Canis lupus familiaris: one gene and its partner. The protein of the gene in region 1 purifies or fractionates together with the protein of each later gene. This does not show direct contact. Links are inferred from orthologs where the notes say so. Each region holds a gene or a part of one and is shown on either strand. Other genes may lie near its edges. The genes, in order: STX18 and NBAS.

The links.
Region 2: the proteins of STX18 (region 1) and NBAS purify together in Homo sapiens (co-immunoprecipitation; 5 studies listed by BioGRID and IntAct, counting the BioPlex papers as one, with this or other methods). This does not show direct contact. The link is inferred for Canis lupus familiaris from reciprocal best matches to the Homo sapiens genes STX18 and NBAS.

The regions. Positions count from the first base shown.
Region 1 is NC_049224.1:70,407,706-70,410,886, reverse strand, and holds the end of STX18 (syntaxin-18), read left to right. Parts: intron 1-486; coding exon 487-567; intron 568-1,343; coding exon 1,344-1,439; 3' UTR 1,440-1,867; coding exon of another isoform or gene 1,868-1,868; 3' UTR 1,869-2,378; downstream 2,379-3,181. UniProt on the Homo sapiens protein: Syntaxin that may be involved in targeting and fusion of Golgi-derived retrograde transport vesicles with the ER.
Region 2 is NC_049238.1:11,422,221-11,426,043, forward strand, and holds part of NBAS (neuroblastoma-amplified sequence), read right to left. Parts: intron 3,358-3,823; coding exon 3,280-3,357; intron 2,897-3,279; coding exon 2,849-2,896; intron 1-2,848. UniProt on the Homo sapiens protein: Involved in Golgi-to-endoplasmic reticulum (ER) retrograde transport; the function is proposed to depend on its association in the NRZ complex which is believed to play a role in SNARE assembly at the ER. Required for normal embryonic development.

The DNA of each region.
Region 1 (3,181 bases):
ATTTTAGCCCTTTACTTTCTTAGGTTACACATAAAATGGTGAAACACAAAGCACTTTTCTGAAGCTAGGGTATGTTTTAAAGCACATGCATTTAAAAGCTTACCTCTCGAACCTAATACAGGAGAGACCAGAGGGAAGGGCCCTGGCCTGTGGCGGCTACTATGTAACGGGCAGCTCTTGTGCTCGTCCCTTCCTGTCCAGCAAGTGGCACAGAAGGTGACACCTGGGGTGGCAGCGGCACAGGTACTGGGTTCCAGTCCTAGTCCTGCCACATGGTTGCTGTGTGACTTCGGGGTGAAGTCTCTGAACCCTGTTTCCCTTTTGCAAAATGAGGATGCGGCCTACCCCTCAGGGCACCGTAAGGATTCATGGGCTCATGTTTATAAAGTCCTGGCCCTTTGTAAGGGGCAGCTGCTAGCTTCTGAGGTCTGTGTGCTTGGGGAAAGGAGATAGTGGTTGGGTCCACCTGTTACTCTTCTTCCACAGGAGGCCGAGATCGACAGCATTCACCAGTTAGTTGTAGGGGCAACTGAGAATATCAAGGAAGGTAATGAAGACATCAGAGAGGTGAGTACTCTCGGGTCCCCCAGGCCGTGGCTATGTGGCAATGAGTCCAGGCAGTAGGGGTGGTCTTGCTGGCAGGGCTGCAGGAGAGCCATGCTGGGGCCCAATCCCCAGGGCTCACCTCCTGACTGTGCTGGACAGTCCTGTTCTGTCCCCAACAAACCCTGGGCACCCGCTGTTACCAAGAGATGTGACTCACCCTCCTCCAAAGGAGCCATCTGAGACACGTGAGGTTACTCTTGGCAAAGGCTGCACCAGCTCCCTAAATCCGTGGATGGGCGCCACTGGAGAAGCTTGTTGAACACCCCCTGCCCCAACCCTAAGGGCCAGGGCCTTGGTTTACTGGGGCCACCACAGCGGACTCTTGAGTGTCCTCGGTCTTCTGAGTGCAGTCCCCGGGTTTGGGTTGATGGGAGGCCACTACTGCCATGTACTGTGGGGAGCCAGCAGCTGGGCCAGCTATGGTACTCGAGGTCGGCGTGTGTGGTTTTAACCCCAGGATGCACATGGGCAGTTGCTGGGTGTTTCCTGGGAGAAATATGCAGGAAGTATGTCTAAGGGCCAGCCAGTAAGGGAAATAAATACCTGTTTGTTTTCTGATGGATTCTAAACCCATGGTTTTGTCTAATTCCGGTAGCACTGACTCTAGCAATACCCTGTTAAAGCCCAGTGCAGGGCGAGTGCCCGCAGACAGGTGGAGCATTTGAGGGCTTTTGAAACCAAAATCCTGTGTGATGCAAATCCCTGTGCTACTGCCCTCCTTCTCCCCCCTCCCCCAGGCCATTAAAAACAACGCTGGCTTCCGAGTGTGGGTCCTCTTCTTCCTGGTGATGTGCTCCTTCTCCTTGCTCTTCCTGGACTGGTATGACAGCTAGTCCACTCTGGCTGTTCCCGGCAGGCGGCGCGCTGTTGTGGGCTCCGGCATCAGAGCAGGGCTGTGAGCCGATTTATCACAGAGCCATTCGGGGGGAGGGGGCTGTGACAGATGTATACTCTCACAAAAGGGACACCCAGACCTGTGGTTTTAAGCCCATGTAGTAGCTGAGAAAGAAAATAATGAACACAAAATGACCTGTGTAGCAATCCTGATGCAAGGTGGGTGAGTTGGTGGGGGGTGGGGATTGTTACTGGCTGCACCTAAATTGGAGACCAATGTGGAAGGGCTGACCAGAGGCCAGGCTCTGGGAGGCTCCAGCCCTGCCCTTCTGGTGGCTTCGGGAGAAGCACTGGTTAATAACTTCTCACAACAGATGATCATTTCTTTGTTTCCTGTGACTTCTCATCTGCCTGGGCCATGTGACAGAATCACTATGTTATAGAAAACGCACCTGTGCCCTGTTGACCTAATAAATGCAACTATAGCTGCTTCATGTCCTATCGGCGGGTCCGAGTGTAGTTCAGTGGACGCCGGCCTGCTGGCTGCAGAAGAAGTGCAGGGATAGACTCTGGGCACTCAGCAAGGGGCCACTGCGCCCCTGGGAGCTTTTGGCTGGAGCAGGAACCTGGCCTGTGCACCTGACCCTCTAGGAAACATGAACAGGACTGACCACCTGTTGGCAGTGGGAAGCACAAGTCTTCTGGAACCACGTCTGTGCAGGAAACAAGCTGGTGTTCATGCCCACCCCCACCCCCACCCCACCCCCTGGTGTGGGTGCGGACAGCTCTGCATTGCTCCCTGCAGAACTGTGTGCAGTACAGTCTGTCACGCGGCCACAGGGAGGGGTCCTGTGTTTTTTATTGGCACAGAGTGAAAATGTCAAAAGTTACATGTGAATTTACAGTCAATAAAATGTCTACTAGAAAGTACAAAGGTATGTTGCCTTAGTGTGTTTACTGGTGTGTCTGTGCAGGAAAGGTGTGTATGTGGTTCTTGCTCTCTCTAGATGCATGCGGCCTTGTCCCACTCATCCCTGGCTCCGAGGCCACGGTCATGGTCAGAACACCCTTGATGATAAAATATGGTTTGGGAAGCACATTTCAGGAAGCAGTAATGGAGTCGGCCATGACCACCATGCTTGTTTGCAACAGATCTTGCACTAGTTGTCATTTATTTTTGATCTACTAAAAAACAGTGAAACTTTTGACATGTCCACCAGAAACAACACATTCAAATAACATGGAAGAAAATGTCTGCGAATGTCTTTTTTTTTTTTTTCTATTTAATCGTCTTACACACTTAGCTTATCTAACTGGCAATTTTGTAAACATATACTTTAATGTCAAGATTCAGGTTGAGACATAATTTTCTTACAAAGATTCGGTGAATTGAAATGTCATCATTGGATTTGCAAGTTGCCACATGAGCCCCTCCCAGCCTTTCCTGCCTGCTTCATACATCAAAGGAGTTCTAGTTCACAAAATAAAAATTGATCTTGGCTTCCCAGCAATTACATTTTCACTTTTCCAACACAAATAAGTTTTTTAAAAACTAACTTGCTAACAGGGCTGTTGATGTGAATATTATTCATAACAGAAGAGAACAAAAAGGCCAAAGGGGTTTCGTTCCTATTTAACACATCACAGAGCAGACGGACTACCTACAGGGGGACAGAGTCCTGCGGCCTGGGGGCCGCTCTTCCTTCAGCCCCTCACCTCACATGCTGGGACACGGTCTGCA
Region 2 (3,823 bases), on another chromosome or scaffold:
CCCTGACCATTCCACATCTTGGCTCAAACACTCTTCGTTACAGGTTACTAGATGCACACATTTTGTATTAATTCAGCAAGAGGAAAAGATTGCCAACTCTGAGCAAGTCAGTGAACTAGGCCCTGTAACACCTGCCAAAGTCAGCTTCATGTATGCCACTTGCAAACACCTTACTCACTTATCAAACATCAACTAAACACCTATTATGTTCAAGGAAATATAAACTACTAGGGAGAGGCAGCTGGGTGGCTCAGTAGGTTAAGTATCTGACTCCTGATTTCTGTTCAAGAGGTCATGATCTCAGGGTCGTAGGATCAAGCCCGCGTTAGGCTCCACACTCAGCATGAAGTCTCCTTGAGAATCTCTGTCCCTTTCCCTCTGTCCATTCCCCCCTCTCTCTTTCTCTAAATAAAATCTTTAATAAACTGCTAGGGAAAAAGGACAGCATTGCTTCTTGCAGACACCAGATCCCACTCACATTGAATTTTTAAGGATTTTTTGTTTGTTTATTTGAAAGGGAGTGTGTGCACAGAGGGAGTTGGAGAAGCAGACCCCCCGCTAGCAGAGAGCCCATTGTAGGGCTCAATCCCAGGACCCTGAGATCATAACCTGAGCCGAAGGCTGATGCTTAACTACTGAGTCACCCAGGTGCCCCCACTCACACTGAGTTTTAAGTAAATGACAACCCTGGAGTTGTGCAGAGCAGTAGTCCTAACTATACCCAGGGAAACCCACATGTAAACATACAAGTATATACAGCTAGACAACATGATCAAAAGGTACTATAGATTAGTGGTTAAAAGCAGGAACACTGAAGCTAGAATGGCAAATTTCAAATCCTCAAGCAATGCCAGCTTCCTCATTTCTAAAATGGAGGGAAATAAGAAGACCTACCTCACAGATTAAATGAATTAACACATTAAGCCCTTACAAGAATGTCCAACACCGTTAGTATTATCCTATCCCTAAGTATAATAGTGTGTTGATTATTTCAGGAGCATAAAGGACTGGCACATAACCAGGGATGGGGGTGGGAGGTCCATATGGATTATGTTCCTGAAAGGCTTCCTGGTGGAATTCATACTTTACCATGTAAGAGTCCTTAGATATACTAACGTTAACAAAAGCTTTTGCAAATTACACACCAGATGAATAAGATCTTGATGAGCATGACTACCATTGCCTAGAAATTTTCCCTCACTACTTAATCTCGAATACAGGAGTGAACTCCTAGAGCTGGATATGTGTACAAGTTTTAGACATATTCTACCCTCTAACAATCCAGTAGCAAATCCTTTTATAAAAGCAATTTTTTGTTCTCTTCATCAAAAATTTTATTAATAAGTTCCAGAAGCACTTGGTCAAACTCTTCTTCACAGATCTAAATATCAATCCCATTCCCGTATACATGTTCTGATCCTAACACCTAAAATCATTCCACTGATGTTCTCATTTCATGGGATAAAGATGGAAATTTTGACGATTAACTGCTATTGATAAAGTCACACCATAAGCACATTTCTCAAAAAGATACATTTCACATTACTGCAATAAATGGAATACCAAGCTCTCACCCACTCCTATGAACAATGGCAGTTAAAGAATTGTGCCAGCTTGATGTTTACGGATGCTGTAGAAAAAGAGAAGGACCTGCCTATCAAATTCTGGCCAAATTAAGTAATGTGGTTATGGAAGGCTGTCATTATTGCCCATCATCTCCATTCTGAAGATTTTAAGAAGGATTACAAAACAAAGCTTCTGCATCTGAAGTTGATACCCCAGTGAAAGCAAACACTCTCTCTACACCCCCAAAAGTTGAAGGGTCCTGTTCTGTTTGGAAACTGGAAAAAGAAAGAAATTACACAACGGAAAGCTAAAACCAGTGTGATAACAACTGAATTATCCTATATTTAATCAAGAATAATTAGGTGTCAGAAAAAAAGTTTTGGCTAGTATCTAGGCACCCTGAAATTTTGGGCTCATTGCTTATTTTTTAAAAACCAAGAGTCAGGTCTTAAGGAAACAGTGCAACATGTTTAGTCTGATGTAGTGCAACATGTTTAGTCTGCTGTAGCTAACTAGTTTCGGGGTACCTGGGTTGCTTAGTGGTTAAGCATCTGCCTTTGGCTCAGCTTGTGATCCTGGGGTCCCGGGATCGAGTCTCACATCAGGCTCCTCGCAGGGAGCCTGCTTCTCCCTCTGCCTATGTCTCTGCCTCTCTCTCTCTCTCTCTCTGTCTCTCATGAGTAAATAAGAAAAATCTTTAAAAAAAAAAAAAAAAAAAAACACTAGTTTTCCTTAGTTGCTACTGTAGCTATTTCTTTCACAACAAAAATATTACTTAAAAAAAAGTACATGGATATCCCATCTTAGAGAAGCCTTCTAGATGTGTAGAGAATACCACTGAATAGCTCAAGATGACAGAGAATATCACTGGTCTCAAGTAATATGGAATCTCTGTCTTCAGTAGACCCATATTCCATCTACAGCTTTATGCCAACAAAGCAAAGTAGCCCCTACTTTTTTTTAATACTTTCATAAGCATTTGTTTTAGCTGACTGTGCAGTAACCAGTCAAACAAGGGTGACTTCCAGAGTTCTGAAGATACGCCTTGTCTACTAAAAAAGTAAAATTTCTCAGATGACAGCAAAGTGATCTGGGGAAGCAGACTGTGCTACTCTGACAAAATATACTTAGTCCTGTAATTGGCATAAGTTGGTGTCTGGCACCTCACAGAATTATGTGGGTCAAACCCCTTTAAATATGCCTCTTCAAAAATATTAGTTCCCATAAATCAAATAAAATTTTCTCAAGGGAAATTTTAAATATGAATAATATTAACAATTACCTGATCTCCACACACTGATCTTGAACAGCAGCCAAAAGTTTTCCATTGCTTTTATAGGAAAGAAAAAAAAAAAATTCTATATAAATAGTTGTAGCAAAAAAAAAAAAAAAAAAAAAATAGTTGTAGCAGTCTTCAACAAGAAGATTTTAAGAAGTTAAAATTATCTTTAAATGTATTCACATCTTCAGTCATCCAACTTTTGACCTTAAAATTAAATAGGAATATCAAGGTACCAAAGCATACATAAAAATGATTCAATATAGTTGAACTAATACATTTAAAAGGTATCAATAATATGTGACAAAGGCAATTGAAATATAATATTAAAAAAAAATCAACACTACAGGCCAAAAGGACACCAAAATTAATATCTGTAATGGAATTTAGATGCTAATCCTAACAGAGAAATACATAAATGTTTAACACCTTACCTTGCAAGTACCAAATGCCAGTTTATCTGTTTATTGACCAAGCGAACCAGTCCATCAGGGAGCAAAAAAGGCACAGGGCTGAAACAACATATTAGCTAACTTAAAATTTAATCATCAAAGACACATATAAGCAAATAAGTATTATAAGTAGCATATATAGTTATAGCAAGACAGGATGTTTTTCATTAAGATATAAAATTTGAATAAACTGGGAAACCCAAAACTCAAAGCTACTAATTGGTTATGTGAAATTTGACCACACACATCTTTTCTTCCAGAAAAACACAGTGGTATGCTCAGATATAAATTCTGTGTCCTAAGGGAAAGGTATCGAGGTTGCCAGTAACAGCAGAGTGAGCTTGTAAGAAACCCTTCCTGCCATCCACACCTAGAAAATCTGATTCACCTCTAACAAAAACTAATTCTAGTATACAACTAAACTCACAGGAAAGAAAGAAATCTCCAAGTACTAGAAATGAAAAGGGAACTTAAAAGTTAAAACTGGATACAGGTACAAGAACTCAAAACAAGGGGTAACACCTGG